Drosophila melanogaster: one gene and its partners. Changing the gene in region 2 together with the main gene of any one other region gives a genetic interaction. Each region holds a gene or a part of one and is shown on either strand. Other genes may lie near its edges. The genes, in order: Vps33B, PGRP-LC and TM9SF4.

What was found.
Region 1: of PGRP-LC (region 2) and Vps33B, changing one suppresses a phenotype caused by changing the other (phenotypic suppression), as found in Drosophila melanogaster (one study listed by BioGRID).
Region 3: of PGRP-LC (region 2) and TM9SF4, changing one suppresses a phenotype caused by changing the other (phenotypic suppression), as found in Drosophila melanogaster (one study listed by BioGRID).

What each region holds. Positions count from the first base shown.
Region 1 is NT_033777.3:25,468,080-25,476,257, reverse strand, and holds Vps33B (vacuolar protein sorting 33B), read right to left. Parts: upstream 2,769-8,178; 5' UTR 2,743-2,768; coding exon 2,686-2,742; intron 2,631-2,685; coding exon 2,530-2,630; intron 2,473-2,529; coding exon 2,154-2,472; intron 2,090-2,153; coding exon 644-2,089; 3' UTR 502-643; downstream 1-501. Other genes in the region: CG4553 (uncharacterized protein), read left to right, coding at 1-496.
Region 2 is NT_037436.4:9,337,140-9,345,743, reverse strand, and holds the start of PGRP-LC (peptidoglycan recognition protein LC), read right to left. Parts: upstream 5,307-8,604; 5' UTR 5,155-5,306; intron 3,580-5,154; 5' UTR 3,417-3,579; coding exon 2,615-3,416; intron 1,545-2,614; exon of another isoform or gene 1,421-1,544; coding exon of another isoform or gene 1,132-1,420; intron 845-1,131; coding exon 620-844; intron 136-619; coding exon of another isoform or gene 1-135. Other genes in the region: PGRP-LA (peptidoglycan recognition protein LA), read right to left, coding at 7,875-8,018, 8,084-8,290, 8,523-8,604. UniProt on the Drosophila melanogaster protein: Major activator of the imd/Relish pathway and is likely to encode a pattern recognition molecule for the humoral immune response. Required for Relish processing and nuclear translocation following proteolytic cleavage.
Region 3 is NT_033779.5:13,742,826-13,751,675, forward strand, and holds the start of TM9SF4 (transmembrane 9 superfamily protein member 4), read left to right. Parts: upstream 1-4,126; 5' UTR 4,127-4,284; exon of another isoform or gene 4,285-5,063; intron 5,064-8,850.

The DNA of each region.
Region 1 (8,178 bases), on a different chromosome or scaffold from region 2:
CACAAAATCACAACTACCGACTCCGCAAGGCAACGAATTCCGCAAACTGCTGGGCAGCAGTAGTAAAACAACAGAGGAGATGCCTACACCACAAATCCCATCCGGCTATGAAGCTCCACCCTCTGCTGCCGAAGATGAAACCTATTTGTTGGACAAAATCCGTAATAAAAAGAAGATGCGGCTGCAGGAGCTTAAGGAATTGCAGCTCGTTGAGTCTGCGCCCGCAGTTCCAGAGGAAATGAAGCGGCCCATCGAGAATCCCAGTGGCACCGGATTCCTGCCCAGTTTCGTGCCCAAGTTTGCGAGCAGCGAGATTGTGATCAGTGCCGCGGATCAGCGCAAGTATGAAATAACCCAGGTGAAAACACGCATTGTTATTCCCCGGAAACTGCATCGCCAAGGAGCCACTTACCGGGTGGAGGATGCCTATTACGATGACGATGGAGAGCTGCTCTACCGAGTGCCTGGAATGACCAGAGCCAGTGGTGATAAATAGCAAATGCCACTTTTAGGTAATATTTATTCGAAAAGAGCATTGTTTAAATTGTAAATTTCGAAAATTGTTAATCACAAGCTTTGTCATCATTGTTTTGTATAAAAATATATAAAACATTTGATACACAGATTCTTAGTTACTTCATGGTCAGCGGTTGAAGGCGGTGGCGATCAAATCACTGCCCGCCATTAGAGAGTCGGATGCCACGGTTATTTGGGCGCCTGTTAGCTTTGCCACAAAATCGCAGGCGGCGATTTCCGCATAACTGGCACCACCCACAATGAATACAAAGAGATTCCTGAGACGCAAGGGGAACATATCCTGATCTGCAACTCCGTTTAGCTTCACTTGGCTGGCATAGGCCTTGGGCGTGATTTTTCCGCTGTCCAGGTGTAGATGCAGCCCCTCAATCATGCCCAGCTTCGAGGACAACTCCTCAGCACTATTGATTTTCAGCAAAATGGAGCAGAGCTGAGCCACCAATGGTATGTAGGTGCCATTGAACACAAAACTGGGACAGGTCTGCAAGCCACTGGATTGGCTCTTGGAGGAGGAACCTCCATCCTGACCATCTCCACTGGAGGTCAACAGCTTTAGCCGATTAGCATTGGCCTGAAACTCCGTTTGCTGGAACTTGGGCAGAGGTAGATTTGAGAGCAGTTTCGTTGGCGCCTTTTTCTCCACCACAAGTGGTGGCAACAAGCCCGCCTGCGACAACTGCTGGAACACGCCCAATTCCTGGTGTCCAAACAGATTGCAGTAGTTCCGCGCAAATATCTGCAGCTCCTCGGGCGCCACGCCAACGCAATGATGCAAGAGGCACAGCAGTCGCAGTGTATTAAATCTCTGACCATCTGTGGTCAACAGCTCGTCGATCTCGCTTAGCAATCGCTTTCTTGAATCATTGTTTAGTATGTCCTCCTCCAGCGTTTGGAGCTTCCTGAAGTTACCCATCATTTGGATCACAATCTCGCTGGCATTCAGATGCCTAAGGACTTTGCTCTTAAGCTCGGTTAGTTTGGGTAGCTTCCTGGCCACATAGTCATGCATCTCGTCCAGCTGCATGTCATTGAGTTTCTGCAGTTCCAAGCCCAGGGCTTTTACTTGTGCGTGAATCAAACTGCTGACCTGAGCAAATCGTTTGTACCGATTATCGCCGTAGATCTCATCGGATGTGGAGTTAAGACGAATGGAACACGGCTTGCTGGCTGAGTTTACGCCTATCTTGGATTTCTTTCCCTGGAGTAACTCCACACGCTGGCTGCGGATCTTGTTCTTGGAATTGTCTACCAGAATCTCGCCAGAACTATGCTCGAAAACTTCCAAGAGAAGACCTGCATAGATGGCCGGAGTGAGCAAGCTGGCGGGGTAATCCTTATCCCGATCGATGACCAGCCAGCCGCCATAGTCTGGAGGATTTGTGGGCGCCGGAAGTTTGCCAAGAGTCTTCGCCATTTGCATTAGCTGCGACGAGTGGTGGCCAAAGCTCAGAATCAAAGACGGTTGTCCGCAAATCATCTGAAGCAATCGCAGGCTCTGGGCCACCGCAGGCAATGGAGATGTGTTCTTCTGCAGGTAGAGACACTCGTAAAGCTGAATAATAAGAATATCCAGTATAAAAGACTCTTTTCTGAATGTTCAATGTACATCTACTCACATTGGGCAGCTCCAAGCTGAGAACTCCCTGATCAAAATAGATGAAGTCCCAGTTAAAGTGATGAAGTTGCACCAGTCCGTACAAACCAGCCTGTTCCAGCAGGGTTTGAAAATAGGAGTAACAACTGGGCACACAGACTATGTGATACATTTTCATGGAGATGTCGGGCATTTCCTCTGAGGCCACGGGTTGCAATTGCTTGAGAAGTGTCTGAAATGTACCCAAAACACTGCGGATCATGTAGATGTGCACCTGATCGGCGGATCGGGGCAAAGATTGTGCCGCATCATGTTTGTAGATCCGTTGTATGCCCTTCAACCTGTTAAGGGGTATATATAAGACGTAAATATCCATAAAATATGGATTAAACACCTACTTCAGCCAGGAGGCAGTGACAACATGTTCCAGTGGCTTTATCAAGTCGGGCTCCAAAATTAACTCCTTCTTTCCAGGTATGCTACATAGTATGGAACAAAGCTGCAGTCGAATTGCAGGTAGTTAATAGTTTCACTCTTCCGATTCATTATTATACCTTTTCTTGTGCCACCAACTGGAATCCCTGCAGCTTTTTGTCCAGCGTCAAATCCATTCTTCGCCGCACAACACAAACAGCTGATGCAGCAAGGTAGCAAAATGTAAGGTGACGCACGCAAAATAAAATAGGGTTGTCACAAAGCAAATATATGCAGTTTTTATTACGTAAATGTTTATCGCAGTCAAAAAAGCAGTATTACTAGTTATTCTATACAATACATTAAACAAAAGCTATACTCAAATTAATTATTTTGAACTTATGCTACTACTGACGTCACAAAGTGTTGAGTCACCATTAAAAGCATTAATTGTGCACAGTCTTAATTCCTGCCGATCCAAAACTTATTTTCAAAGTTCGAGCTATCCGGTTTGTTAAACAAAAGTACTTAATCTACTGCTCAGTTTGATTGCATACCACTGTGCGAAGGCTGTTCGCTCACGAACTATCGAACCGGTTCGCCATGCGTTCCCATCTTTAGACGGGTATTTAAGCGCGATTCGCTGCAAAAGTGGCAGTTTCGTTCCAAATTCCGAAGCGAGAGTTTGTCGTGGGAAGTTGTTGCGCGCGCCCTGTTCGCATTTATGTGTTTTTATCGTGATTCCGTCAACCGAAATCATATGTTTTTAGCCAGGAGAGAGACGATTGCCAAAACAGCAGCAAAACGGGCGGAGTTCTGCGGTGGAAAATCGAAAATTAGCAAGCGCACGGAACACACTGTGATTGGAGCGAATTAAATGTGAATCAAAATATGGTTAGCCATTCGAAAAGCGTGTAATAAAATCGTGAAGAAAAACCAGAAAACAAATTTGTTATCGCTCTCTGTCTCTTTCTCTCTCCCATTCTCGCTGCGATTTGCTCTCCGTGTGTTTATGTCTCAGCTGTCCAAGTGTGTGTGCGGGTGTGTGTGACGTATGTGCGTGCAAGTGTTTGTGATTTTATGTTGTTGTCTTGCCTGCTTTCGCGTGAAATTCAACAACAACAACAACAGCAGCGGCAGCAACAACAAGCAAAGCAACAGCCAACAACAAATTTAAATTGAGATTTTCCATATTATCAAAAGTTACAGGCGCCTATTTTGCAGTTATCAGGTGAGCTTGCACTTACATTGTTTATAAATAATTTGGGTTTGGCGCATGTGGGTGAAACTGTGCAAAAATATGTGAAATATTTAATCTAATGACAAAAATAGCCGTGCGGTCTGGTTTGTTGTTGTTATTTTGGGCAATTGCAGCTTGTTGCATGTTCTCGTCTTCTCTTTTGTGCCGCAGATTCGTCTCTTTTTTACCGCTCTCTCCTTCTCACTCTGTCCTGCTTGCAGTTGTACATTGTTGCCTTTGTCAATCATTATCTTTGTGTTTTCGCTTCGTTCTGTTTTTGTTTTAGTGGCTAACATTATTTTCTTATAGTCCGTGTGTGTGTCTTCTTCGCGTTTTCTTTGCGGTTCAATTGTTGTTGCGATACCGGTTTGAGCAGCTGTCTCGCTCGGGCACGCTGCACAGGTTGCTGTTTAGATTACTTTTAATTTTTCTATTCTTTGCGCTCCCGTGCCTTCTAATCGCATCTTCTTCTTCGTGCTCATCTTTCTAATGCCCGTTTCTTATTGTTGTTGTTCTTGTTGCCCCTCCCAATTATGCTTTATTTGTTTGTATTTCCCTCTCTCCCATTAAAAATAAGTTTTTGCCATGGGTTTTATAATTTATTGGCCTTTCGATTTATTTAAAAGTTTAATTTTTGCCCAGACTGTTCAACTTTTGCTAATTGCCTACAAGTTTTAAAAGGTTTTTAAGTAGTTTAGCTTAGAACAGGTTTTGCAACAGTATGTTTTGTTAGGAGAGTCACGTTAGAATGTTTCAACTATATATGATTTTTTTTAATATTTATTGTTTTATAATTGAAAGCATAAATAATGTAAAATTTGCGTTCATATTATTTTTCTTTTTATAATTGTAGGTTTGCTCTCGAAAGTGCGAGAAATTTTAAACATGAATCATCATTTCAGAACTAAACAAATCTTAAGAGATTTGTTTGTATTGCATAAAATACAAACAATTTGATTTTCTTGTGCTGAAATTAGTATTACTGCTTAGTTTCACCATTATATACTAGATATAGAAAAAATCATTAGGATCCGCTTTAGGAATAAATCTAAAAGCAAGTTAATTATCTTTACTTGAAATGAATTTTTATTCCGACTAATGCGACATTTTATTATTACTCATAAGAGTGGTTAATCGTTAGTTGGATTAAAGAAGATGTGGATTCCCGTTAATGGGAAATTCCGCTGAGTTTATCGAGGCCATCGGCGTTTCTCAATTCGATTTCCAGTCCGAGATGCGCTCTTCACTCGCTTAATAAAAACAATAATAAGCTGAAAGCAAAGCAAATCGAAATAATTCATTTGCATTTACATAGGTAAATAAACAACACCATCACCCGAAGGTGATTCCAATCCCAATTCCAATCGCACCCCCATAAATTCTCTTGCCAAAGTTCGGCACTAATTAAAACCTGAAACAAATTACACATCTACGGGAGAAGAAAACGAAACAAGAACTCGTGCAAACAGCAATGATTTTGAAAAAGAAAGCAGAAAGCATTTTTGCAACGTGCGTTGCTATTCGTTACCCCCCACCCCCTCCAAAAAATTTACCCAATCCCCAAAAAGATTCTCGTTTTGGTTCGCTGTGTGGAGGAGGCGTGTGAATTTTCGTCGGTTTGATGTCTGTTTTTGCTCTGCTCATTTCCACGCTCACACATCAAACCCAATTAGTATTGTTCTTCTGTTGGCATATGGCAAATATTTCCATTTGTCTGTTTGTACACATATAAATTGCTTTGTATTAGCTTCGTTTCACTCTCTTTTTCGATCTCTGGTGTTTGGCGTAAGTCTGTTTAAAAATGTAATTATTCCCATACTTGGCGGGTTCTATTTTTGGGCAGCATTTTCGGTACATTTTGACACATGTGTGTGTTGGAAAAATGCGATTGAAGTTTATTCTTACGTTTTTTGAACATTTGCCAATACTGCGTCGCTTTTTAGCTGATTTGTGTGCTAGTTTGGTAACGAATTCATTTTACATGATTAGGTATTTTTAATTTGTATATTTCTTTTACAATATTTTTAGACCCAAAAAGTGAGTACATATATGCATGTACATTTAAAGAAAAGTGAGTGCTTTATTTTAGCACACTCATCAAAAAACCGCAAACAATCGCGGCAATTCGCACTCATGCGTTTCTTTACGTTAGGGTGACTCACTCGACTCACTCGAAGACAAGACAAGTAACAAAGAATTGTTCATTCTACGGCATTCTTCGCTCTTCGGCTTTCATCATTTCTTTGGGACGGACGCACTGAGCCATGTTTGTTTTTCTTGCGCCGAACCAGAATGGCGAAAGTGAACCCAACTCGAGTTGGGAGACACAATGGATATATGTTGGGGATGTAGAATCTGGGATGGATGACTTGCTCTGACGTACAGATAGTGTTTGTGTGTGTGGTTTGCCTGCCTTGAGCAAAGTATTTTGGCGCGTGTCCAAGTAGAAACAAAGAAAAGCAACGAAGGTGCGGCAAATATAGCGAATAAATCAGCAAATCGTTACTTGGCCACTATATTCGTGGAACTGAGCCTAAGAAATATACTTGAGAAGTATCTAAACGCTACAGATGAATTAATACATGAAATACATTCTCTAGCACATTTGTATATTTTGGAAAAACGTATATTTGAATGAGGAAGATGTGTTTGAGAAACAAGATTCAGAACAACTTTAATTTGTGCATAAAATTTCAATTTAAACTGATAGATGGCGATATATTTGATTTTTGCTTTTGCCTATTCGCAATGGCCAAAATCAACTTTGCACTTATTTTTAGAATAATGTAAATACAAACAGTCGATAAAATAAACAACTTTGATTAGAGGTCATTGTAAAATTTTCGACTTTGGCCGCTGGAAAATTGCGAATTTAATTGGAAATTCGGGGAAAAAATTTATGCAAAGCAGCTAGTCGGCCATTAGGTTAACTTGTTTCGACACGGCCAATTCATTTGAAGATCCTACATACCTGCCCACCATTTCACACCAGCGGCTTTCACAAGTCCGGGGTTTTCACATCCTCGTCTTAAGCGCGCTGCCTAGCCGAAAAATGACGGCACTCGAGCGCAGATGAAAAATCTTTTGGTTTGGTTTTTCTCGCTGGTCTGGATTGGCTTGGTCGTGCAATCTCCAGTTTAGTTCCCTCGAATTTTCTCACCTTTCTCAGCAATTTGAGCGCGAGGCAACGTGCCACGCATAGCTGAGAAGGCGGAAAAGCGTTTGACGCAACTCCGTCTCAGCGTTTTCCCACTTTCCCTCGATCTGCCTGCCACACGCCCCCACCGCCGTCCTTTGTTTATTCGGTTCAGTTTGAATTTCCCGCGATGTCGCCGGCCAAAAACAAAAAAGGAAAACAGAAACCAAACAAAAGCGGAACCAACTAGTTAAGTTAACTCTCTTAGAAACTGCCGACATACAAAGAAGACCAGAGATGTGGGAATTTTAAACCTCGCACCGTTCTCCGGACACCAAACTCCGGACAGAACGGACACCATACCACGGACAGCCCAGAAATTCAAGCGTTTTTGGAGCTTTAACAAAATAAGCATTGTTATTAAGCTTATTTATTTAAAAAATAAAATTTCTAAATACTATAACCGAGAATCTCCAGTGTCAACACTATTTGCCAGAGTTCTTTTTTTTTTTTCTAAATTAACGAGGCGATGAAGACAAAAGGCTAGATTTGAGCAATTGAAACGAGCTGAACTTTTTATTTTGCACTTTGACTCAGCGGAAATTTCTTTTGTTTTTCGTTTGGCTAGTTCCTGGAGTAGACACCAAAAAAAGCTACAAAAACACTTTAAATCGACCGGATATTGCAAATTTTACGTTTCTTCTGGTTCAATGGTCAGTCGTTACTTCTTGTGCAATTCTTTGTTGATTCTTTCTCTGATAATATTAGTTACGATTAGGATTGTTTTATGTTCTCCACTTAACAGCTGAAAATAGAAAATATAGAAAGAAAAAAACATTTTTACTCTTTTTATGATCCGAAAATACAAGTGCCTTCATTTGGGTTAAAAACAAATAACTCCAGAATCAAGAAAAACTATCGATGCATTCTGTGCAGTCAACCAAGTTGACATTTGCTAACAAAATACGCTGGAAAATATGAACAAGAAAAACTGTTTATATGTTTGTTTACCAACAGAGCCAGTAGTGGCAACCCAACCCAACACCCATTCTCCGTCCACTTTCTTCAATGCCGAAGAAATGTTGCACACGAAAATATATTCAAAAAGCTTCTGCATTTTAACACATGATTTCATATGCAAATATGAACAATGCACAGAATATAGGGAGAAGAAACGAGATGCCGAGACGAAAATTTATGGGAAATCACAAAATTTATGGCATTTCTTGGTGGCAGAAAGCGGGACAGAGAATGTGA
Region 2 (8,604 bases):
CAGCGGCGGTGTGCGAGATGACCACCCGATTGATGGGCAACTGTTGCGCATCCAACATCCTCTTGGCAGGTCTTCCGCCCCACTCGGCTACTTTTAGGATCACCAATGTGCTATTATCGATGACATCCAAGTCCGCTGCATTGAGAGTTTTGGAGTTAGCATAGCACGAAAGCGACCAAAACAATAGTAGTTACTAATTACTCGCGATTTCTTAACATTTGCATCAAGACATTTAAGGGTGTACGAGTTTTATTATTTTATTATTTTTATTATTTAAAACTCACACTACTATTGTTTTGTGAACTTATGGGTGACGCACGAGGTCGATTCACTGGCATATTCCATTCAATTGAACTTTAGGCCACACTTTTGATTTATAGGTCACTTCACAACACTGACAAGTGATAAGAAACGCGATCAGAATAATGGATTATGTACCCAATAACGACTACACAATGTTTCTTATGAGTTACATATGTATATACAGTATGAGATTAAGATGGATTATACACATGCTGGTTGGGATGGTGAGATGATATATGTTAGAGCATGATCGCCAATTCGGTTTTCGTTTAGTAAGGAAGCACTTTTGCACACTTAGCGGGAAACAAAACTGTACCTATTGTTGAATTGATTGGAATATTTTGTCTGTAATCGTCGTCATCTCTGATCTTACTTTGGTTCAACGTCTTTCCGAAGAGATTTGTGGTGGTGGCCAGTACGATACCCAGCAGGAAGGTTAAAGTTACAAAAACCACTGTAACTGTGACGGCCTTGCGTCCGACAGTGTTGGGCAGAAAAGGACAAATTGGTGGGGTTTGCGCCGGATCTTCGTGTTTGGAGCCTGAAAAGTGTGGGTAAGTGAAAGCTGTTTAAAAAATGTTAAGGAAAACTTAAATAATGAATAAGGCAAAGATTTCTAACGGCTTAATAATAAATTCTATTGTTTATGAAAGATAAAAGACTTAATTTTATTTGGAAACAGTGGAACCACCTTTGTTAAAGTTTAATATATTCGTTAATTTAAAGAAAGAAATTTTGATTTACGAAGGATTATATAAATTATTCAGTTTTCTATTTAGCCTATAAAATCAAAGATTAGCTTGCTATATATTCAGTATTTCTTCTTACGCTTCACTAGCCCCTGTTCTAGGATTTCCAATCGTTTTTCATGTTCCCGCAGTGACTTTTCCAACCACTTGCTCATTTGTGCTCCAATTTGCACCCCATTCAGACAGTTGTCACATTTCCACCTTAAATTGGGCACCATTTCCAGCAATTTCAACTGATCCTCGGACAATTCCGTGCATTTGCGATGACAGGACCGACCACAATAAACATTATCACACTCGATACGCCTGTCATTATCTACGATTATCCCGTGACACTTTAGGCAAATTTCAAGCGTGTTCCTCGACATTCTCCGATCGCTTTATATGAACAACTGAAACCGATCGTTGGGTACTTTTCCCGATCCGCGCACATAGTATGCAGGAACTGTTCTTGTTTTTCACTTTTTCATTTAGCAAGTATTTAAGCCGCACGCAAAAAACCCCCCCGCTTTATATGAGTATTTATTGCGTGATCCAGGGGAAGCACCTGCCTTTATAAAAACAACACTTAACTACAGCTGACTAAATTTACACTCGAACCCCTGGTTCAATTCCAATTGGAGACTTTCGCCAACCAGAACGGCGATTTAATTATGGTAATTGTGAAAATCAATCAAGTAAACAATTGCAGTTGCTATGGTTTTTTTTTGTGCGTAATTATCGCAAGTTTTCACCGATTTGATTTACGAGCTGCGGGGCCTTGAATCGGCAGAGATACATTTTCTTTTCGTGAATGAAATTTTACTTGTTTTTTTTTTGTGCTGAGATTGTAATCGGAAAACAGGGAGATAAAAAACGAGTTCTATAAGTAATAAAAAATGTATTAATATTAAAAAATCCCCCGACACTATTGGCGTTAAAACTTTTTCTCTCATGAATTTTATTTTATGTGAGACAAATTTTGGGTTCGTGATTTTCATAAATATTTTTTAATTTTCAAGCTAAAATATTTTCTATACGTAATAAAATTATTTGGCATTTTAACAAAATTTTCCATAATGAGTTTTGTTGCCTTGCGCAATTAAATGCATTTAATATGTTTTTATAGTAACATGTAGTATTTGTTCTAGGCGCATACAATGAATCTGTCTGCTTTGTGGGCCATCTGCTAATCTACCATTCGCAGCACGGTCGTTAGACCTGGCCAATTGGGTTGAGTAAACAAATAGTCACACGCGCTCAGTTTTGGCCCATTAAAGCAAACAGAACCGCGGCAAGGTGAAGACAGAAATGAAACGCAAACAAAGGCAGCAGGAAATAGCAAAATAATATATATATGTTTTAAGGATATATATCCCAGAAAATATATATTTTAGAATAGAAAACTAAAAAGTTGAAATTATCGAACTAACGATCCTCAAGAATAACTATGCAGAAAGATGCGAAAGCAATCGAAAGTTACAACTTTTAAGATTCCATTCTTAGTATAGTGTACAAAAACTAAACGATATCAGATTTAGATTTTAAAATACAATCTATTAAATTAGCTTAGAATGTCTTACCCGGCGCACTTCCATTCGTGCTGGGACCACCATTGAATGCGGGGTTATCCTGTCCACCAGCTGGTCCCTCGCCCGGTTTCCACTTGTCCCGATTATCGATGAGAAACTGTTGTATCGTCACGGGTCCCTCGTAGAAATGCTTATCACCGAACGTCACATCTGTGGAGTTGGTCAGGGCGATGCTGCCAATACCCTGCGTGGCACCGCCCGCCGGCGATGTGGGCGTGGCCACGGCCAGATTACCGTTCAGTATTTGCTTGGCCACAATGCCAGCTTCCAGGGGATTGGGTGGTGGTACTGCCGCCTCACCTGGCGCCACATGGCGACTGATCACCGTTAGACCCTGGTTAAGGTCGCGCAGGTGTGAACTGTTGGGCGGGTAGGTGACCTGGTGACCCAGCTTCTGGACCGTATAATCCTCCGCTTCGGCCTCCGAATCACTATCAATACTACTCGAGTCGATGGCATTATCATCGATGGACACAACGGAAATTGTGGTACTCCGTATGGAAACCGCCGGCGAAGATGTCTTTCCAACATTTTCCGTTGTTATATTGACAGTGTGCTCAACGCTGATACGCTTGGATTCCGTTTTCTCTTCCGATTTCGATTGGAACTGCCCTTCGCCCGTCCCCCGATCTTTGGTCTCCTTCTCCGGCCGGAATGCCGCCACATTATCGTTTAGTATAACGCCCGAGTCTGTGGACGAAGTACTGCAGTTTTTTGGTCCAGTCAACGGATCGTTTACTCTACGTTTCGCATTGGAACATTGGCTCATTTCCGTTTCATTGCTAAAAGGCATGTCGAACTATCGTGACAGTCACGTAACCAGATTGATATTTTCTCTGGATCTCTGAGCGTTATGTGTTAGCCTTCCTATTTAGCAGATTGGGCGGTACATTATTTTTCGTATGGCAAAACGGCTGACTAGGCACAGCTCTCGGCAAACATCACATCATGAGCATCTGCAAATAAGTATACGTTTTTTTTTTTGTTGGTCCCGGTTAACTTGATGATAATAAGCTAGTCAAACGTTGTCAAATTTCGAAGAAATTTTTTGTTTGAATTGGGCTAAAGTGGGCTTAACTTTGGGGAGGCACTTTGGCTTTATGGTGCACTGATTTTTTTATTTTTGATAAAACCACATAATTCCCTTGTGTGCAAGTGTTTTTAGAACATTGATAAATATATGTATATATTTTAACAATGTATTGCTGATATTATATTATGCGATAAGCTAAGTGATATTTATTTGATAGCTTTGAGCATTATTAAACGGTTTGGATAACACACACAATTTAGAAAAATATTTCGTCAGTTCTTTAATACTTTTCAATTACACATGCTTTATAAAAGTGATTTTATTGTTATCACAATCCATTAGATCGTTCAGTTGCAATATGATTTATAAGTACAATCAACGCTTTTAGTTCATGTATACACGATTGTTGATAAGCTCGATTGCCAACAGAGTTTTTAAAACGCGAATAAAAAACGTTGCTGCTGTTGTATGGCAGTGAAGTTTGTATAATTAAGATATAAGGGTATTGAATAGTGCTGGAATATATGTGTATGTATACAGTTGACTTATATTGTATACTCGTCAAATTCGATTCAAATAGTTGGTCAGTAAGCTCGCACGAATGCAAGGCTTATGCAAATTAGCTATAATCATTGACGTAGTCTATTTACTTAAGTGGATTCCGAGAAACACAAAAGTAGTAGTTGTTACCCATACATATGCATGTTATGCTTAATTTTGGATATTCGAAAGCCACGAGTGACGTCTTCAAAAGGCTGAAAGATCATTATGGGCATATGCCGTGACGTCTTGATGATACGTAGATACGAAGGTTTCCGAAGAGGTGTGCCAATTTCAAAACAGTAACTCTATTTTAAAGAATTCCGCGAATTGTGATAAACTCGATAGAATTGAAAGGGTGCCTTGGAGGGTAGCGACTTTATACTTTAGAATCGATGTTCTAGAGAGTTGGCACAGAGCACGCTTTTGAGATAACACCAAATGGAATACACCGAATAACGACAACGGCTACAAATGAGAAACGGAATGGCATTTTGAGTTTACCGAGCGCACCAATACACGTGCACGGGAGCGGCGGCCATTGTCACTAATACACGCACAGATCATCACAATATGGGTGCTCTTTGTTTTGGTTGTATTCTGTTTGGAGAATCGATAATAATTAACAACTCTGATGTTTTACGTGTTTTCAAAATTATCATTAAATATGGCCTATGTGCAAATTAATTGATTTTCGATCGATGTTTCGATAGCATGTTTTCTTTTTCACTTCCACGAATTTCTTTCACTTCCTTTCGTGTTTCGAAAGGCTAATTAACATTCCTGGAACATAAAACGATTGGAGAAACAAACTAGTTTGCACTTAAATATCGATATAATTGCTCAATTATTTGTCACTAGTCATATAATAGGATTATGATTATTTTGCGGTGTGTAATATTCTATATAATCACTCTATATTCTATTCTATATTAACACTTTGCATATCGTTACGCACTTTAAATTGCCGACGAAAACCGTTGCAGCTCGTTTGATATTTGAGCGTCTATACTATATAGCCAATTTGTAAGTCGAACTTTTTATACCGTTTCGCGCCAATTTCGAATCGTTGAGCAGCGGCGCGTTCGAGTGACTCTGATCAACTGAGCGGCGATCAAATCGCAGCGGCCTGAAAAGCTGGAGCGTCTGATATGGCAGCGTGTGGGGAGCGTGTGTGAGGGAGAGCAGATCGCTGAGAAAAAAAAAACAAAGAGAATGATGGGGAGAGAGCGGTCGGCGTTTTTGCGTTTATTTAACCAAAGTTGTTTAATTTGAGTCCGATTTTCAGGCAGTCCAACTTGTTACCGATTTGCATTTTAATAAGTGATTTCTCAAAAGATCTTAAGAGTGCAACTCAAAAGCCTTGTTCCAAAAAACTTCTAAATCGTTTTAGAAAATATAATTTTTTAACATATAGTGTTTACATATTACATAATATGAACGCGTTCTGTTGTATTTTCTATCCTTTTTGTAATCTAGCGTTAACCAATAAAATGCAATGATTTAAATTTTCCTTAAAAAAAACTGTACATTTTAATAACTTATGATAGCGGTACAACTTTTTCTCAATCGAAACTGGTTTAAACGAAAAGCGAGTGATCCCAAGAAACCGAAAGAATTCCGATAACTGCATCTGGCGAGCTGCATATTTCGGTTTTTCCGAGCGTCATTAAGTCGCGGAACCTGTTCTCGATTTCGGGTTTTTTTTTATAAATCTTCCAGATATTAGTCAAATTTATAACGATACCTCCAGCTACGCCCCGTGGCTCGAGAATGGTCTCTCCAACTTCTCCCACCTGACGATGACTGTTTGTTTTTGTTTAGTTGTTTAGTCGTCCGCACCGACATCGACACAGACAAATCGGCGTATACGTATTATATATGTACATATGTATGTATATAAATATATATATTTTTTATTTATTCAACCAATAAACAACACAAATCTCCGGCTCTCTCCCGTCTACCAAAACACTTACAGACATTGCAGTGTGGGCAAAAATGTGAACATTTTAAATTGCGCTACCATTTCCGAGAATTGTTTTGTTTTGCGGCCCGCAATCGGTTTTTGGCTATTTCACTTTGTGGTACAGGCCAGTTATATATATATATATGTATACATATGTACATGTGTACATAGCTCTTTTTTTTCTCTTCCAATTCCAGCTTGACCCATTGTACTTGTGTTGAAAAATATTTAATGTAATTATAGGCGAACGGCGGTTCGGCGATCTCTGATAGTCTGAAAAGGGCGCCGGGAAACTGTTGATGGATAAAACGTAAAGAGCAACAAATTGGCGAAACGAATTCCGAACACGCTTACAGAAAAGAAAAATAAAAATATAATTATAAGTGGAAAGCGCAACGAGCTTTAATCGAAATAGTTGTAGACTATTTATAATATTTTTTCTCTCAGTGTTCCTGACTTACTGATAAGCTTGTTGAGTGGCCTTTAAAATGTATTATTTTATTGCAGTTAAAGTTCTACACCGAAACATCTAATGATTTATGCCTTTTGTAGCCAGGCAATCTATTCTTTGTTGACCCATTATTTTATTGCGAAAAATGCCAGTAATTATTGTAAATCATTTCCAATGAAGCAGATAATAATTTCTTTACAACGGTTGCGAAATCAATCACCATAGCTATTTTAATATACCTACCTCCACATATTTTCTTACCTTAATTATTATTAATTATTTTTACTTTTTTGGTTCCCTCTTCGCATATGTGTTTTTTTCTTCTTCTTTTTGGTTTTTACACGTGCCGTACTCTCGTCATTGTTTTGGCCAAAAATTCGTTCCGCGTTGTAGGTATAATTTTTTTTTTAAGGCGCCGTGAGATTAATTAGTCAATGAATGTATGTACGTCACTCTTTTGGGCAGGTTGGACTTTAGGTCATTGATGAAAAGAGGGTTAAAAGGCACACCCACTAGTTTATTAGCTTTCCATGTCGTCATAGTTTCAGCTCATCATTTGATGCGCAAGTTAAAAACATAAACATTTCGAAGGAGTTTCTTTTTTTTTTTACCAATATAAATCATCGAACGTACTTCTCTGTTGAGGGCTTTGAACTGAAGGTCGGTGATGATAGCAGATCTTATTGGCAAATATCCATTTCATTTTTAATATATTTCTCTGCTATTACCAGTCTTCCTGTAAATAGGATTGTAATGACTCCATATGATAACAAAAATAAAACATCATTATTATCATTGTACATATATTCACGTTGAAAGGCAGATAAATGACAAAGGCAGCCACAGCGATCACAACATCGTCTATATAAGTGAAGTGAAGTGAAGCTACCGATAATGATGTTGTACTGGCGCACAAAGGCTCTCATATATTTACACACACACACAGACACACACAAGATCGATGAGTGTTAAAGTCTATGAGGGAATAAAAGGGGTACTGGTATTGGCACTGATAGAGGTTGACTGCGGCTTGGGAATTTCCAGCTTTTTGAGCGACAGTAAAACTAAACAGAGCTCCAGAGAGGAAGAGAGACACTATATATATATATATTACTATAAATAAACCGCTTGCTCCCAACCGGTTTACTTTGGTTTCGAAGCCAGCATAACCGATTAAAAGAAAGCTCCATTCGCCTTAGTATATGTATTAAAATACAGTTTGTGCTTGGTTACACTTAGGTGGTAGAAAAGTCTGTAGCTATTGCTTGGCGTCCCACGATTCCGTTTTCATGCCCAATTCGATGCCGCAGGCCGGTGCTTCGTCCATTCCGCAGCCGTAGAAATGCGGCCAGTTCCGGATTTCTTGATACACATATGCACCCGGGCTTCTGGTCACCTTAGTCTGGAAAATATTCAATTAAATTATTATGTCACCAGATATGCCAGATATATAGTAAGTAATTATACCTGATTTTGCGCCACTAGTTTGTAGTCCACATCAATATTTCGATTGGCCACTGCATGGGCCAGCAGAAATTGGACACCTTCCAGCTGTTTGGGACCGGGCTTAAACCGGCCATAGTCGCCCATAAAGGTAATGGCCAATGTCTGGTTCGCATACGTGTTGGCCCAGTCCCAGCCGCGGCCAACGTAGATGTTACCCTCCTCCGAAACCTGGTCGAAACAAATTCGGAAATTTGACAATTTGCGTAAGCGGAAAGCGAAATGCCCAAAATGGCACGTGAACGTGATGGGAACACAAATGCACGCGCCGGGATTTCTTTTCCCTACTACACTCGAAGAAATTTTGATTTTTAAGGCTTAAAAAGTATTATACAAGGCTTATTTTAGGAACTATGTTTCCCATTGAGGCGCGTAAAAGAGTGCAGAACAAGAACAGGCTTACATAAAAATTGGATTGGATATCCGGCAGACCCTTCTCAGCAATGGCTGAATCCTGAATGGTGCGCATCTTGATGGAGCACTTG
Region 3 (8,850 bases), on a different chromosome or scaffold from region 2:
ATTCGCATGTCAGCTAGAAATTATAATTGATGCGATACTAATACGAAACCCATTTTACAGCCGCAACACATTCGCTCCCAACTGATGACGATTGATGCGATGCAGTCGCGGAAAAAGGCTTGGTAACTGGCGTAACTGGCGCATGATGGGAATGATGGCGATGATGGGAATGATGAGGGGATCCTTGGAACTGGAACTGCCACCCATAAGACTCGCACTGATGGCGTATGTCATTAATGTCGCCAATGATGTTGCTGACAAACACACTCATGCCACACCCACACAGCGGCAAACATTGGCTACAAATGGTACGCAATTGTCATCCGAGCGTAGGGTCCTTCGCATGGCCATGGCTTTTTGCCGAATGCTCCTGTATCCGGGTTCCTGGGTCCACTCTGCGGGTCCTGGTAATTAGATGAGTGTGCCATAAATCATTTTCTAAATCATTTGTTGCTGCTGCCTCGCAATTGCAACTGCTGCTGATGGCCCTGATAGTCGTCTGTCCGACTGCTCACTTTTTCCATCCAATTCCTTTCGGTTGGACAGCCTGAAAGAGACAGGAACAATCACAAACAGCCAGTTGAGCAATTGGACTAAGGCTAAAAAAAATCAGCGAATGAACAAGGGGATCTTAAACAAACTGGATAACCTCTAAATATTCTGCTTAACAACATAATATATAAGTAATATATAAGTATAAAGGGTTTATTAGGTACATATTTTTTATATTGAAAAAGGGATCTTTCTTAAAATATGGGCCAAGTAAATATGTTTCTTTAGAGCTGATATAATTAAATTATATCTTAGTTATCTTAAGTATGGAGCTATTTCTATTAAAGGTCAACTTCAAATCAATGAAACTAAATTGCCACCAAAGATATTAATCGCAGCAGTTGATCAGGTCATTGTCCCTTCCTTAAACGCTTTCAATTGTTGGCCATTAACGGTGGGCTTCTTGGCCAAGCCACAGCGGCCTACGACAAACATGTTACTCATTATGCAAGTCACAGTCACAGGAACCGGGGGAATACATGGTACACTATGTGGCTGAAGGACTTTATCGGGGTTGGGTGTATTGGTGGAAACACAAGATGACCAGGGGGCACAGTGTCTACAATCTAAAACGCATATTACTCGTACAATGAGCCACGCCCACCGGCAACTAACAAGGCAAACAAGCCGGCCAACGGGGAAGGACACACAAACAAACAAACTGGCCAAAGGGTAACGAGGGCAAGGGGGCAAGGGGAGAGGAGAAGCCTGGGGATAACACAGGGATAACGCGAAGGGGGTCGAAATGGCAATAGCTGCTAATTGTGTAGAACAACGAAGAAAATTGCAGGGAAAACAAAATGTACGATCCATGGGATTGTCGAGGGGAGAGCGCATTGGGCGTGGTCGGGCGAAAGTTTAACTATAAAATACTGCGACACATCCAACAGATACCAACTATGTACTAACTACTAAGCCAGCTGACCAGCAAGGAATAAAGGAGTCAACAGTGTCAACAGTGGCGCACGAGAATGGGGATAAAAGAAAAGGGGTTCCCCAGTTTTCAAGGCTAAATCCTCAAGAAAAACATACAAATTTACAGGAAAAACATGCCATCATTTGTAAAATTACCTATAAATACTCATTATCTCCTGCCTAATGTTACTATATCCTTAAAATTGCACGCCACTGTCCTGTGAAACTGAAAAGTGGTCAAGTTTATGGCAAATGCACTTTAAGTGCTAAAAGTCGAAGCTGCATAGTTGCATTGACGCCGACATTAATCGACTTACCAAGTGCAGGGAGTGCATCTGAATGGCTTGTCCTTAAGATGTCCCAGATGGGGCGAATGGCCAATGAAATGGCGAACTGCGGCCACTTTTCATGTTAATTAAGATGCGACAAATACACATAGATAGATATCGGGTGTGAAGAGATCTGGGGATTCGGCTTATGCAGATTTATGGCCGCCAACGAGCCCAAAGGGCCCAACACAACTGCTCGAACAGCAAAACTTTTGCGACATTTTGGCTATTGTGTCCGTCTAGCAAGGACATAATTAATAGTTGGCTAAAAGGTGAGATAGTCGCACAAAGGCCGCACACATAAATGTGGCAAATGTTTTGTGAGCTACTCGATGTGATGCTGCTGCTGCTGCCTCAATGAAAAGTTACCCAGATAACATAATTATATTTCAGTTTTAATTGTAATTTATGTCCTGGCCAAGCGCATGATTTATTGGCCGTATGGGTTTTTGCACCTAAAGAGTTAAATTTATTGAATTTCGGCTACCCAGGGCTACCAAGTTTGTTCTTACCTTAAATAAGCTGCAAAATATATATAAAAGGGACTCTTAATACAATTATGTTTTAAATTAAGTTATCGAAAGGCTTTCATATTTGCCATTTGCTTGAGCGTTGCTGCACTTTATTTAGCCAGCATTGAAATTAATATAAATATGGGTTTCATTTTCTTTATTACACATTTACACAATTCATTAATTATTAAAAATAAAAACTTGTTTAATCTATTAGCCGCGCTTTCGCCTCATTTCGAAATAAAAAAAAGAAATAAAAAACATTTAATTAGCGAAATTAACACAGTTTGAAGAGCAACAAAAGCCATTTCTTTAATTGCATTACCGTACCCATTTCCACCAAACTGATTAAATCACTTTAATTTTCGCGTGAGTTGTCATGGCAATAAAGTGAGCCAATTATGATATTTAAGTGGGAAAATATTTGCCAGCTGTCAGCCACAGAGACCCGTGATCCCTATTAGCCTACTCGAGCATTATGGACAAGTGGCCTTCGCTGCTGACAAACTTAGGCAGTGTCAACAAATCAATGGGAAGTCTACAAACACGACACAATGGCATCGAACTAATTAAATGGCGATTTGTGTCAGCGATAAGCATAATAATTGCCGGGCAAACAAATCAACACAGAAGCCCAGAAATTTTCCACGATTTTCTTTCATTTCCAGATGTGCGGGTGTCGCTGCCTAATGAAGCATTATGTCATAGAAAGATATTTATACACATACATATGGTATGTACGTAAGCTGAGAAAAATGACGAAATGAAAATATATATTTAACTACTTGCTGCGCACTGAACCCAGAAATTACAAAAATAAGATGAAATCAAATAGCACGTCTTCCATTCAAGTCCCCACACCCACAAACGCTGCTCCATCGTTGTCCGTATTTGGACAAGCCATCATCAAGATGTTTCGAGTCATTGAAACAAAGGCCAAGTCGAGTCAATCAAACAAAAGAACGGCCCGTGTTGTCCCATTTCTCATCTCCCCCACTCCAAGTCTCAGATACATCCGAAGTCAGGAGGCAAAAGACAGAAGAAGCCTCAACCACCTACAGATAACGCCCAGCAGAAGGAATACAGACACGTTTGTATTTCGATGCCCATTGAACTGTGGGAAAAATGTCAACATTATGAGTTGATGATAGGCCGGCGATGGGCAGCTGATAGTCGTGGAATTTAGGGCGAAATATTTGAGTTACGTACCCGAAAAGAAATACGTTTTTTCCATCATAGCGGGGGGTCAGTGGGTGGTCGAGGGTCATCTTCGCAAACATCTCTCTTATCATCAATCTTTGCGCCTCAACACTTTGAGGATGCTGTGGCAGCTGAGGACTGTTGAGCCCTGATGAAGTTATAATATTTATTTGGTTTATTATCCCAACTGCTTGTGGTCCCCGGGGAGAGGGAGTGGAACTGCTTAGACAGTCGTTGATGGCTCATTTTGTTATCAACATATGAGAGGAGTTAGTTCATTGCAAGGAATGGAAGCTTATATCTTAGTTTTTATAATGGTATAAAGCGGTTAATATGGCATACTCGGTCCCGTAGTCGGTCCCGTAGTCTTGGGTAGCTTTTCATGACCAAAAAACCTATATACACCGAACTGTGTATCTTTATTATTCCAACATCAATATTCCAGCTGCATCGATAAGTCATGCCCCCCAAACAACGATGGACATTTTGCACCGAATAACCTTGTATATTCCTTTCAGGAAGAACTTTTCCCGAGGAGCAGAACATTTTTATCAACTTTCCCAGCGGTATCGAAGGCAGCGGGCTCAACAAATGCCCTGTCAGAATTTATAAAAATGTATTTCGGCAAAAGTGAAAAATCATTCACATAACCCACCCAGTCACACACCCAGTCGCACACACACTTCTCATTGTCGCAGCTTCGGCACACGTGCTGCGGAATGGCTAAAGAATGGCAAAAATGGCAGTGATGTGGCCTTAACACCACTTTGGTGGGGGTAAGTTGGTGGTGGTGGGTAGTGGGGGGGTTTCTGCTTGCTTGACACTGCCCCAATGCCCCATTGTTGTTCCTACTGTGCTGCTGATTTTGGGGCTGTCACGCTGTTTTGGCAACATTGTTACGTATGTTGGCTAAATCGTTTCGGCTGTCTGTCTGTCTATCTGCCAGCTTCTTTCAGACAAAAATCTCACTGGCAACAAGGTGTTAAGCAAGCAATTGTATTAACCTTATCGCAACTTTGATTTATGCATGTAAACACAGAAAGCGATGCTTGTCAAGAAATCGATCATGTCAAGAGCATCCGCACGGGCTTACTAATGAGTTCTTATAAATAACAATGCAGATTGCGATTTCAATGGCAACAAATTCTCAATTTGGAAAAAAAAACAAGGGAAAGTAAAATTTTGTCTTAAAAGAATGTGCAGTTTTCAAAATTCTTTGGTACTTTATCCCAGCTCACAAAATTCGAATTAATTTTTAACCTATTATGTTGGGATACAAAATCAGCTAGTTAAGTAGGTCATACAATGCGACACTTTTATATCAAATCGCCCTTTGTATCCACTACTTAAATATATAATTTCTAATTAATTCCGATACAATACTCTTGCATTATCACTACTTATGTGTTGACTTTAACTGGAGATTCTTAAAGTAGTACATCAAAAGGTTGATTTGCATGTTGAGAACAACCCTTTAATGGATACTACTTAAGGAAGCTTCCATCAACAATTTTTCTTTGAACTCATTGGTTTCACTTACTATTACAAACTGATTGACGCTGAAGAATACGCCTGTAATTTATAGGCAAATCTCTTAACTACTCAAACCGAATTTTGCTTATCAACAATTTCCATAATCTCTGTTAATTCCCAAATAAAATCCCAAACTGACTCTGTAAACTGTGCCTAAATAAATAACAAATATTTGCTGTCGATAAAGTGCTTTTGTGTGTAAAAATTACAGTTCAATTATAATGCAAGTACATTTTAAATCGATTTAATTAGTTATGATATGGTTATATTTAAAAATTATTAAGTATTAACTAGTATATTGCCAAAATTATATATATATTGTTATCAATGTAACTATTGTAAACGGGAAAATCCTTGTCAGTACTTTTTAAATTGAGATTTAACTACTCTGATGTATGAATTATTTGTAAATTAGTAAATTTACTTCGCAAGTACTTTAAATGCGTCCCTCCACATAATCCCAGCAGCAATCAGTGCCACGCCGAGCCAGAGCTCGATGAATCTCGGCCAGCTGGCAGGACGAATAGGAGGCAGACCCTATCGCATATTCACACACAGACACACTTACTCCCGGTTTAATAAAACAAAATCCTGCGGCGATAATTTACAACACGATTGTGCTTGGCAAATTGCTTTGATTTAAGCGCGCCAACGTGCCAGGACTGCGCACATCCTGCGCTCCAAAAAAAAAAAAAAAAAAATGGAATAAAAACAAGCAGTCAACATTGGACCAGGAAACCAGCCACAAGATGCTCCTCCACACACACACACACACATTGAATGTTCTGTATATGTGCACGTGTAACGACCACACACACACACACGCACACCTTCACACTTGAGTGGCAAGCCGAGACGAAGGCAAACCAATTCAACATCCGTTTGCCGCTAATTCACACGCACACACACACTCACATACGCGGCGAGGAGCTGGCATCGTGGCAGCAAGAATATATGAAATACGCGCAAATAACGTGTTAGGAAAATGGCGTGAAAATTGTTATATATATTATATCCGTACGCTGAAGCACTTGATATGATTTCTTATGCTCCATTCACTGCAAAAGGTGTTGAGCAGTTCGCGTCCTACGCACGCTCGATTGGAGCTGGAAAGGATGTGTGCCAGCGACGGTCTTCAAAATCTGGGGCATGCCTCCGATTTAAATTAAAATGTGGCGTATTCACTCTGTTCGAGCTGAGATTGGAGGTCGGCTAAGGCAATAGGTATAGTTAACTACAGATATCTTACATGGTTTCGTTTACTTACGATTTCAATACGTTTTCTAAAACAATATTGTACTTAAACTAAGGTTCCAAATTATGTTCTACACTCTTTTATTTAAGAATAACAAGTTTCTTAGCTAATGCTTCTCCATTTTGATATAAGTTATAAGATGAGTTAATAAGATCTTCCCATTCCCATTCTTGATATGATTCTCTGACTTACTCCTTGTTAATAATTTTACCAATAGAGTTTCCACAAACCATTCTGTTTCACACTAAAGAGATACCAACTTCTTTGCCGGGAAAACTGCAGTTTAAAGACAACGCAACCGGATTCTGACTGAAATCCATTTTACGGGTGCCAAGTGCCAGACCAAACCGAATGTCTGTAAACTTGCACGTGACTTTGGCGCAACTTGCAATATTTGCAGCTACGGCCAAAACCAAAACTAAGCTGCCAACAACAATGGCAACTCCGGCCAAACTCCTGAAATCAAAACTAAAAATTCTGAAAGTCACATAGCAGAAAGTTTTCCATGCAGGTATCGTAGATCCAACGGAAGACTGCCAAAGTCTGTGACTGTTTGCTTAAATGATTTCGCAGTTTTTTCCCCTCACACTCTCGCTCGTCCCGAACTTTTCTTCGTTTTTTGTTTGCAAGTATACTTGTTCGGATGGCTTTCGTTTTATATTTTTTGTCTGGGCGCCGCATAAAAACTAATATTGTGCTGGGAGTTTATTGGAATTTGGGCAAAGAGGAACTTCTAACAGGTAGTATCTTGTAATTTTATGGAGTTAGCCGTGGGGACTTTGCTTTATGGAAATCGCATCCAAAAATGTCGTAAAATCAACGCAGGCCACGCATACAAAAAAAAAAAAAAAAGTCGAATGGCGCTAAACTCCTCGGCAAACTTGTGCGACGGATTTTGTCTTGCGGTTAGTTTCTGCCAATTCTGCAGGTGCCACACAAAAGTACCCCCCCGAAATTGTTATCCACATTAAACAGTTCGTCGCAGCTTTTCGCCAGTTGCGTATCCTGCGGATTGCTCGCTTACGTGACGCGTATTTGGCATGCAGGACACGTGGTCCCCGGGTCCTATCAATAGGTATTTTCGTTGGCTGCGCATCGATGGGTCTAATTAATGTTTAAACTCTGGCCTTCATTATTCAGTGATTCCAGTGCCATGGGACGTCCGGTCGCCACATAAAAACTAAGCATCGCACGGTGAAATGATTTTGGCCATCCCAGTGTTCAATGACCGAAATTGCCGCAAAAGTTAAGTAAACTAGTGCAAAATTAATTTGCATTTAAAGCAGCACTAAATATGCCATGCATATAATAAGTTTCGATATTAATGGCATTGAGGCACTTATCAAATATCTAATTTCTCAAAATGGGTTTTAGCTTCATATCATTCTTAAAATTGATATGTTTACCATGACTAAAATCAAGCATGTAATAAATTTGAATTAAAACTATGATATATGCAACGGCTTGGAGCAATAACATTAAGTGCAATTATAATGCAAAGCGAAGATACCAGAAACCAAAGATATTTTATTGAAGCTAAAAATAATGCTTAATATTAGACTTCAATTGCTGTAAATCAAGAAATCTAATTTCATATTATACGATAACATAATCAGAACAACAATTCAGCAAAGATTTCTTGATGAAGCCGAGTACTCCGAGCTTAAACAGGAATTGACCAACTTGAAATTATGAATAGCAATTCGTTAGAGGAAAGTTGTGACCAGCTACCATGTGGCTGCTCCTCCGGAAATCCACTGGCGGAGATGACCCAGCAGGATGAACTGGTGGGCGAAACTGGGTGGGTGGAACTGGCTGCGTCAAGTGGCATCGCCCGGTATGGCAAAAGTGCTTCAATCAAGTAAAACTTGCAATATAAATTCAAACATTTTCCATTCAATGCGTTTTTGTGGTTGTTGCCACTCAAGCATCGGCATTGCCATGAATATTCCTCTGCAATTCCACTCGCCACGGAGTCCTCGATATCCTTTCTCTGCATCCAGAGTTTCCATCAAAATGTAGCTCCGTCGGGCTGATGCTATTATTTTTGGTTTTGTAGCAACATTTACCTGGGCAAGCAAATTGCAATTCGAAGCCAAATGCCACTCCTTTCCAGCCACGCCCCCTTCCGCCACGCCCTTGGAGTCGCGGTCAATGCAACAAATTGGATTGCATTTGGTTTGGTTTTGAGGTTACTGAACAGGTAGCTTTATTATTGCTATTATTTGATCCTTAACTCTGCTGACTTCACAACGTATTTAATTTAATTATGTTCTACTAACCTTTCGCTTGGCATGAAAATACATAATTGTTAAGAAACATATGTATGACATTATATAGCTATCTTTCACAAATCAACAAAACATTGTGCACCCATTCCACATAAAATTATTGGCATAATTCACATAATCACAGAACAAAACCAAAATCATTTAAGCCAACTTCCTGCGAAGCCAAAACGACTTACGAAATCGTCTTAAATTTCCCCAACTGCTCAACAAAAACCCATCCACATTCGGCTGCCACAACTTGAGTTAATTTAATAAATCTTGAA